Linked DNA regions of Saccharomyces cerevisiae S288C. Changing the gene in region 2 together with the main gene of any one other region gives a genetic interaction. Each region holds a gene or a part of one and is shown on either strand. Other genes may lie near its edges.

Region 1 (5,815 bases), on a different chromosome or scaffold from region 2:
GAACTTCCTTTTCGACTTCCTTGGTGACTAGAAGTTGGATAGGGTAAGCAACGAATTCAGAATGTCTCTTGATGACTTCTTTAATTCTCTTTTCTTCCAAGTACTCCAATTGGTCATCTTTCAAGAATAATCTCAAGACGGTACCTCTACCAATTCTTTCGTTAACTTCGTCCAAAGTAACGGTGAAAGAACCACCGGCATTAGATTCCCAAATATATTGTTCGTCCTCATTGTTCTTGGAAATAACTTGAACTCTGTCGGCGACTAAGAATAAAGAGTAAAAACCAACACCGAATTGACCAATCATGGATACATCGGCACCAGCAGATAGAGCTTCCATGAAAGCTTTAGTACCAGACTTAGCAATGGTACCCAAATTGTTAATCAATTCAGCCTTGGTCATACCAATACCAGAATCTCTGATTTCCAAAACTTTTTCTTCTGGTTTTGGGGTGATTCTAATGAACAAATCTGGTTCGGTTTCCAATTGCTTTGGATCAGACAAAGCTTGGTATCTAATTTTGTCTAAAGCATCGGAGGCGTTAGAGATCAGTTCTCTCAAGAAAATTTCCTTGTTAGAATAGACAGTGTTGATGATCAAACTCATCAACTGAGTGATTTCAGCTTGAAATTCAAAAGTTTCACCAGCCATATTTCAGAATGATTCTATTTTTCTATTGGTTCTGTAGCGTTTCAAGAAAAAGAAAACAAGAGAAAGAATATATCACAAAAAATATAATGCATGTGTTCATGTCACTTACGGTAGGCAGTTCACATGCCACTCTTTTTATACAAATCTCCTCCCTCATTACCCAACGCTTGGTGGAAGTTCGAGAAAACGAGAAAAATTGTTCTTTCACCTTCTAGAAAGAAAAGTGCCCAGAAAACAGAAAGGCGGGTAATAAAATGCATCGGCGGCTATTTTAACTTTCTATTGGTAATGGCTGCTGTTCTATGAATACAAAAAGAAAGAATATAAAAGAACGTAAATATTAATTTTGCCTAAGAAGCAAATTATAATCAAATGCGTAATGGGTTATAAACTATCTAGTACGGTTAAAAGCTTGTCAATCTGTTCACAAACCATGTAATCTTCATCTTGATCACGAACGTAAGATAATAGTGTTTTTAGCTTATCGTAGTTGTACTCAAAGGGAAGTAAATCAAATCCTGTACTGTACAACAAATCATGTATCAAGTGTACGGCACTTCTTCTCATCAAAAAAGAATCATCCTTGTCCTTCAAATGATTTTGTGGTTGTTCTAATTGCAATATTCCAAATACACAATCCAGCATATCGCGAATTCTATCCGAGACACCCCTGGCGTTGATTTGAAGGCACATACCTAAGATTGACATGGATGACATACGCCATCTATTGTCCAATGGTTTACTATCATTTGGCCTCACAATACTAAGACAGGTATCTATAATCAGATAAGCCAATTTACCCTGGAACAATTCGTTCTGACGTTGAATGTAATTGATGAACACTTCTCCAACTTTCAGCACATCATCTAATCTGTTTTTCTTTTTTTTGTTAGCATAAAATTCTGCAAGTAGAGGCAATATGGTTTCTGGCTCTAATTCACATAGCGTTGTAAGTCCTTTAATAACGTTGAGATAAATGAAAGGGTCCATATTCTTTAAATAATCTAAATGTATTTGCAACACCTTTTCCAGTGAAATTACTGGAGACTTCTTTTCAGCTAGATGACGTAGTTCTGTTAAACCATAAGATTTTATGGGCACTAAAGGATCATGTAGACTAGTTATCGCTTTGTCAAGCCTTTCCTCATCCATCTCAATTTCTATGTTGTCGTTCCTTTCCGTAGTATGTCCGTTAATCAATATATTATCTATTGATGCCAATAATGCATCTATTTCGGAAGCATTAGTGTTGAAAGATTGTAATTTTCTAGAAATGGATTTCAATATATAACTGTTTTGCAATAATATACTACTGGACGATTCTGAAAGGACGGTTGATAATAACTGCAAGATAATTTTGTAGGAAGAATTTTCATTTGGATCCAATTCTTCTGTTTCTTCTCCTTCTTCAACTTCGTCGTCAGAATCTGCTTCTACTTCCTGTATTGTTTCATCTTTTTCCTGAACAACATCTATCAATTGATCAATAACAATAAGAACGTCCTTAGGTTTATTAACAATCTTGGTTTTAAATCGGTTGTTCATACATTCCAAAAGTTTCAAGTCCATGAGTATTAACGCGTTATCTGTAACGCTTGGCATCCCGCTATGATTATCGGAAGATCTTTTTTCACTTTTTTTTGTATGATGGACCCATCTTTTCAGAATATCTAAAAATAAAGTCTTTGATTGTTCCTCATCATTTAGCAGCACTAAAAATTCCATAAATAATTCTATCGAAAGGTCCATATCTTGAAGAAACTCAGAAATTTGAGAGTTTTTGGATCCTTTTTCGAAAAACAACTCTGCCATATCTGTGTTTTTAACCGATATGTAGGGTAGCTGAGTATCAAGATCAATTAAATACTTCCATTTCTCGTGCTCAAAATTCAGTAAGTTAAGGCTCAGTACATTTAGATATTGAAAATTTTCTGTTATGACTATTAGAGATTTTAATAATGATAATACAACCTCGTAATACTTTGAGGAAGATTGCTCTGGAAAATGTATGCTGTCTGTGCTTTTATTATCTGAAATAGACAATTTGTTTATTTCTAATGGGTCTAGTTTTTGGTTTTTCTTCAAAAAAAGAGCATATATCCATACATATAAAAAGAACTGTCCAGGCGTAGTACCGTCTTCATCAGGGCAACTAGTAACTAAATCATTCAGCAAATCCGATGAAGAATTTTTGGATAAAGATATAAGAACGTTTATAACATCGTTCAGTTCCTTTGCTGTATGATCAGTTAACGGGGAATTAAAGATAATGGAGCGGACCTTCTTAAACAAAAAATCGTTAACAATCCTCTTATTCCTCAGGTAAAATTTAAGGATTAGTCCGTTCAAACAAGTGACCAGGATAGGCCTGTTCACAAAGGTGAGACCATCATAAATTTGCTTGAATAGTTCCGTCAAGTATTGCAAATTTGTCATTGTTTTTGGCTTACTCATCAAAATTTGGTAGATACGGTTAAACTTTTCAATATCTATATCTTCAGCATCTCTCACACCCAAAACGAAATCAATCAAGCTGATCAGACCATTTTCCGGTCTTCGTAGAGTTAACGTTGTTAACTTCGAAAGGATTGGCTCCCTAACCTTTTCGTCTTGAATTGTTTCTACTAGTAGAGTGTAAACCCCAAACAAAGTATAAGTTTCTTGAGTATCTTCTAGATTTGTAATCATTTGTGAAGAGTACCTATTAGGCAACTGCAAATGTAACACAATCAAACCTAATAAAATGTTTGCGTAAGCACTGCCTTTTGATATTATTTCTCTCAGGTAGTCAGAAGACCTCTCACTAGTTAGAACATTATAAAAGACAGTTATGACTTGAGATAAAGTATCGTTATTTATGGTGTGCCATCGAGGCGTTTCATATTCTGCGCTTTTTTGGCCCTTCTTGAAAGTATTTATTCTTTTCGAATCGAATGGAATTTTCATCGTAGGAGACAAATTAGCATCTATACCATGAATAATCAAAAGATTTATCAGTTCGTCTACGTATTTCATATCATGCAATGAGATAGGCAATAAGTCACTTTTACTTTCGATGAGCCTCCGTTGCTGTTCTAGTACGTGAATGTGCAAATTCTGGAATTTCTGTAAAAGTACTGCAACAAACTCATTGTTATTTGAGCACTTCAACGCCTGATAAATGGAAGAGGATGATGATGAGCCTGAATCAAGAACATATTCGTTTATGGGAGTAATTACATTGTCATCCAGATCTTCGAAGAAAACATCTAGGGCTGTCTTTTTGGTGAGCTTCGGTCTTGTATTCAATATATCGTGTATGTTGATCTTTTGCTCTTTATCCTCATTCATTTTCCAACCTTTTGTTTTTCTTGATCTGATATGACAAGAAGAAACATGAGGCGGTGATGAGCCCTTATTGCTATATGCTGTTCGACGCGATGAGATGATTACATGTTTTTTATTAAATTTCTCAAGCAGACTGCGGGTAACCTTGATTTTTAATTATTCAATAGGAATTCTTTTTTTTTTTAGAAAATAAAATGTTCTGCGTAGTGTACTTCTATTTATAAATATAATAATATTATTGATTAATTAGGCATCGCATTTTCAAAAATTTTTAAGAATGCGGGACACCAATTTGAGATTGTTGTGTCAGTAACCATCCAATGTTTAATGGTTTTCACGGCCATATTTTTGTCTTTTTCATTGAAAATCTGGGATAGTACTGTTTTGGTGTGCTCGTTTTGTAAAATCTTGGTAATGTTTGAATCTAATTTTTTCTTGTAAAATTCCAACTCCTTCGAAGAGAGCTTCGAGCCACACACACAGAGGTCGTTGATCTTAGCCACTAATTCTTCTTTACTGCATAATATCGGCTGGAGCTGTCTATCGCCTTGGTCTTTTACGAGCACACCTTCACAGGCAGATTCTTGTTGAGCAGCAGTTACAGATGGCCTCCTCAAAACTGGTGGCGGCGTAGTAGCTGTTTTAGTGTTCCCATAAAGATCTAACACTTCTGTGGCAAGTCTGCCGCTAACACATCTTTTCGATTTCGTTCTTTGTTTAGATTTGGATCTAGGTCCGCTATTAGGGTCGATAGAAAACAAAACTGTCGGACAGTCGTTATAACCAGGCACTTCAGCTTCTAGACAATTCTGAAAACTTTTGGTTGGTTTAATAGCCATCGTACGTAATAGTATGTGCGGAAATAGATTGACGAAGAACCGACAGATGCGCGTCTACTGAAGCTCTTATGAGTAGCCTGTGTGAATAAAGAAGCCAGCTAAAAGTAAATATGTGGCATCTTTATGTCTTACGAGCCGGGTACCAAGCGGCAGCAAAGGGTCCCCCCTAAACGACGTGCTTATCACCCGGCCGTTGTTTACGAAATGGCCTTTTTTGACGTTTTTAGTTTCAATGGATGGATGAAAAAAGCAAGTAAAATGACAAATAAATGCTGTTGGCAGGTTAAATCGTTTAATATACCCATAAGAGAGCTGGAATAGTGTGGAATTGTAATACTTTACATTTGAAAACTGCCCATACACGCACAAATATTGCAGCAATGAGCAACGCTAATCCTTATGAGAATAACAATCCGTACGCTGAAAACTATGAAATGCAAGAGGACTTGAACAATGCTCCTACTGGTCACTCAGATGGTAGCGACGATTTCGTAGCTTTTATGAACAAGATCAACTCAATAAATGCTAACTTGTCCAGGTACGAAAACATTATCAACCAAATTGATGCGCAACACAAAGACCTACTTACTCAAGTGAGTGAGGAACAGGAGATGGAATTGAGACGTTCTTTGGACGATTACATCTCTCAGGCCACAGATTTGCAGTATCAATTGAAAGCGGATATCAAAGATGCCCAGAGAGACGGATTGCACGACTCTAATAAACAGGCACAAGCTGAAAATTGCAGACAGAAATTCTTAAAATTAATTCAAGACTACAGAATTATCGATTCTAACTACAAAGAAGAAAGCAAAGAGCAGGCGAAGAGACAGTACACAATTATCCAACCGGAAGCCACTGACGAAGAAGTGGAAGCCGCCATCAACGATGTCAATGGCCAGCAGATCTTTTCCCAAGCGTTGCTAAACGCCAATAGACGTGGTGAGGCCAAGACAGCATTGGCCGAAGTACAGGCTAGACATCAAGAGTTGTTGAA
Region 2 (4,791 bases):
ATCAAAACGTCAGATACCTGTCCTAAGGAGAATACAGAGGAATCTATTATCGCTGATCTTCCACTCCCCGATCTGCCTCCAGAACCTCCTACCGAATTATCAGACTCCTTTAAAGAACTCCCACCGATAAATTCTCATCAAACTAATTCCAGTTTGGGTGGTATTGGTGACTCTAATGCCTATACTACTATCAACAGTAAGAAAAGATCATTAGAAGATAATGAAACTGAAATTAAGGTATCACGAGACACATGGAATACTAAGAATATGCGTAGTTTAGAACCTCCGAGATCGAAGAAACGAATTCACCTGATTGCAGCTGTAAAAGCAGTAAAATCAATCAAACCAATACGAACAACCTTACGATACGATGAGGCAATCACCTATAATAAAGATATTAAAGAAAAAGAAAAATATATCCAGGCATACCACAAAGAAGTCAATCAACTGTTGAAGATGAAAACTTGGGACACTGACAGATATTATGACAGAAAAGAAATAGACCCCAAAAGAGTAATAAATTCAATGTTTATCTTTAACAGGAAACGTGACGGTACTCATAAAGCTAGATTTGTTGCAAGAGGTGATATTCAACATCCTGACACTTACGACCCAGGCATGCAATCCAATACCGTACATCACTATGCATTAATGACATCCCTGTCACTTGCATTAGACAATAACTACTATATTACACAATTAGACATATCTTCGGCATATTTGTATGCAGACATCAAAGAAGAACTATACATAAGACCTCCACCACATTTAGGAATGAATGATAAGTTAATACGTTTGAAGAAATCACTTTATGGATTGAAACAAAGTGGAGCGAACTGGTACGAAACTATCAAATCATACCTGATAAAACAGTGTGGTATGGAAGAAGTTCGTGGATGGTCATGCGTATTTAAGAATAGTCAAGTAACAATTTGCTTATTCGTTGATGATATGATATTGTTCAGCAAAGACTTAAATGCAAATAAGAAAATCATAACAACACTCAAGAAACAATACGATACAAAGATAATAAATCTGGGTGAAAGTGATAACGAAATTCAGTACGACATACTTGGCTTAGAAATCAAATATCAAAGAGGTAAATACATGAAATTAGGTATGGAAAACTCATTAACTGAAAAAATACCCAAACTAAACGTACCTTTGAACCCAAAAGGAAGGAAACTTAGCGCTCCAGGTCAACCAGGTCTATATATAGACCAGCAAGAACTAGAGCTAGAAGAAGATGATTACAAAATGAAGGTACATGAAATGCAAAAGCTGATAGGTCTAGCATCATATGTTGGATATAAATTTAGATTTGACCTATTATACTACATCAACACACTTGCACAACATATACTATTTCCGTCCAAGCAAGTGTTAGATATGACATATGAATTGATACAGTTCATATGGAATACGAGAGATAAGCAATTAATATGGCACAAAAGCAAACCTGTTAAGCCAACAAATAAATTAGTTGTTATAAGCGATGCATCGTATGGTAACCAACCGTATTATAAATCACAAATTGGCAACATATATTTACTTAATGGAAAAGTAATTGGAGGAAAGTCCACCAAGGCTTCATTAACATGTACTTCAACTACGGAAGCAGAAATACACGCGATAAGTGAATCTGTCCCATTATTAAATAACCTCAGTCACCTTGTGCAAGAACTTAACAAGAAACCAATTACTAAAGGATTACTAACCGACAGTAAATCTACAATCAGTATAATTATATCCAATAATGAAGAGAAATTTAGAAACAGATTTTTTGGTACTAAAGCAATGAGACTAAGAGATGAAGTATCAGGAAATCATCTGCACGTATGCTATATCGAAACCAAAAAGAATATTGCAGACGTAATGACCAAACCTCTTCCGATAAAAACATTCAAACTATTAACAAACAAATGGATTCATTAGATCTATTACATTATGGGTGGTATGTTGGAATAAAAATCCACTATCGTCTATCAACTAATAGTTATATTATCAATATATTATCATATACGGTGTTAAGATGATGACATAAGTTATGAGAAGCTGTCATCGATGTTAGAGGAAGCTGAAACGCAAGGATTGAAAAACGAACAACATGAGACAAAACCCGTCCTTCCCTAGCTGAACTACCCAAAAGTATAAATGCCTGAACAATTAGTTTAGATCCGAGATTCCGCGCTTCCACCACTTAGTATGATTCATATTTTATATAATATATAAGATAAGTAACATTCCGTGAATTAATCTGATAAACTGTTTTGACAACTGGTTACTTCCCTAAGACTGTTTATATTAGGATTGTCAAGACACTCCGGTATTACTCGAGCCCGTAATACAACACACTGAACATCCTATTCCTCGTGGCCCAATGGTCACGGCGTCTGGCTACGAACCAGAAGATTCCAGGTTCAAGTCCTGGCGGGGAAGGATTATTTTTCTTTTAATCAACTTTTTCGGATATCGTAACCCGGCATCTGTGTTACGTTGTGTGTTTATATTTTTTTAACTGTTCGTGAATTATGACATTCTATAAAAAAGAATCTTTTTGTATTTAAGGAGAAGAATTTTCCAGGCCAAAATTAATTTTTTTTTTTTTTGTCAGGTAGCGTGATATTTCCTATTACCCTTAAAACACATGAATTTGCGAAAGAAAGGGCAATGCACTGAGAAATAAAAAGGCAGGCAAAGAAAAACGTATACAAAAGGGGATTATTTTATTTTGGGGCATTAAAACCAAAAACGGAAAAAAAAGCACGTCACGAAAATAAAAATTCAAAAAAAAAAATAAAACCAGTTACAGTACTCATCACTACATTCTTAATGGCAGATCAAGTACCAGTTACAACACAACTACCACCAATAAAACCTGAACATGAGGTACCACTTGATGCTGGAGGGAGTCCAGTAGGTAACATGGGTACCAACTCGAATAACAACAACGAGCTAGGTGATGTATTCGACAGAATAAAGACACACTTCCCTCCGGCCAAGGTAAAGAAAATAATGCAGACAGACGAGGATATAGGAAAAGTTTCACAAGCCACGCCCGTAATAGCGGGCAGGTCCCTAGAGTTTTTTATAGCGTTATTGGTGAAAAAAAGCGGGGAGATGGCAAGAGGACAAGGAACCAAGAGAATAACCGCCGAAATACTAAAAAAAACAATTTTAAACGACGAAAAATTCGATTTCTTAAGGGAAGGTCTATGCGTAGAAGAAGGCCAAACACAACCGGAGGAAGAGAGTGCCTGAGCAGAACGGGGCGATGTAACTTAGTGTAAAATGAATACCACATCTATATATATCCATATACCAATGTATTTATATCTATATATGTCTGCACATATATATTATACTCTATTATCAAGGACGAAACGTAATCACATATGTATCAACGACAACCGGCGCCTCATGTAATCTGTACCTTTCTCTACAGTTACATAGCATGAGTATGTGTATTCCTATTTAGGAAAAAATTAACGCTATTCTTAAGGTTTACGAAAGAGCATGCATCACCCCATACGATCCCCGGAGTAACTCCCGCAGGTGGGTGTGCGGGCGCTCAGCCTGCTATACGATTTAGAAACGAGGCGCTGCGTTACCGTCTGTGACTTCTTAAATAAGATTTTTAGGTGTCCCATCCTTCCAACTGTGCCTACACCAGAAAGACAAAAAGAAAGGAGGAAAAAGAAAAGCTAATTTTTTCTTTCAAGTGCCAAAGGAAGCGGACGAAGGGCTAGCTCGAGGATTCTTGCAGCAACGGAGGAAGGAGTGTGAAAAATCGTTAAGGTTCTCGCGGTTTGCACCGCGTTGCGTTCGAGACACCAAAGAAATGTATACTTGCAGATTGTGCTGATATGCTAGTTTAAGCCCAAGCGGTCTGGTTGTTGGCTTCTTGCTTCTGATAATTACTTAATATTAATACCTCAAAATTACGCACTTGGAAATATAATACAGGCGTACTCCTTTTGTATTTGTCTTTCATCTGCACTTGACTTCAGCTTTCTTTACTACTGCTCTATATACAGTAATCTGTTTACACTCATCATCAAATAACTGAAGGAGAGCTACGGCAAAATACTTGTTTATTGTCATATTATTGCTATTGTTGTTTTTTCCGTGCTGACACAATAGGATTCATTTTACCAGGCTAAACACATAGCCACCACCGCTCGCTACTACTTCCACTCACTCTTAATCAGCATGTTACAGCAGGGTTCTTCCTCGAGGAGGAGTTTGCATGGTAATGATTTTCACACGCTCACTTCTCCTTCAAGGAGAGACTCTTTGAGTATTCCTAGGGCTGTGGACGCTAGATCTGCGTCTACGATTGATCTGTTCTACATACCGGATGCTACCGTCTCAAGGAGGCACTCTACTCTGGTGGCTAATAGATCAGACAATAATGGTAATGGCGCACCGATGCGCCAGTACAATAAACCTAACTTTGCTTCCTCCTCGACTTCATCTCTGCCTTCAACTAGAAATCGCCCCTCTCGCTACGATAACATGAATATGAATATGAATATGAATATGAACATGAACATGAACATGAACATGAACATGAACAACCATACTACCAGTGATCACAATGCGCACCCGCAATATCGTTGTAGACCAAACCCGTCCAGACGCCACTCCTTAATGACCATTCCCGAAAAGTACTCTGGTAGTCGCTACAGTCTCCGATCATCCCCGCCTACCTATTCTAATCCACGTGTTAGGAAGGAACTTACTCCTTTCCAATTACAAAGAAAGCAGATGAAAAGCGCTTTTCAATTC

Evidence for each region. A genetic interaction does not mean that the proteins touch.
Region 1: of BUR6 (region 2) and RTP1, a mutation in one rescues a mutant of the other (synthetic rescue), as found in Saccharomyces cerevisiae (one study listed by BioGRID).

The regions. Positions count from the first base shown.
Region 1 is NC_001145.3:627,192-633,006, reverse strand, and holds RTP1 (Rtp1p), read right to left. Parts: upstream 3,983-5,815; coding exon 1,037-3,982; downstream 1-1,036. Other genes in the region: Hsp90 family chaperone HSC82, read right to left, coding at 1-652; ADD37 (Add37p), read right to left, coding at 4,222-4,818; SSO2 (syntaxin), read left to right, coding at 5,199-5,815. UniProt on the Saccharomyces cerevisiae protein: Required for the cytoplasmic assembly and the nuclear import of RNA polymerase II. May facilitate the starting interaction between RNA polymerase II subunits RPB2 and RPB3 and the subsequent interaction of the resulting complex with subunit RPB1.
Region 2 is NC_001137.3:490,000-494,790, reverse strand, and holds BUR6 (negative cofactor 2 transcription regulator complex subunit BUR6), read left to right. Parts: upstream 1-2,832; coding exon 2,833-3,261; downstream 3,262-4,791. Other genes in the region: YER158C (uncharacterized protein), read left to right, coding at 4,213-4,791. UniProt on the Saccharomyces cerevisiae protein: Component of the NC2 complex which represses RNA polymerase II transcription through binding to SPT15/TBP and thereby inhibiting the assembly of the preinitiation complex.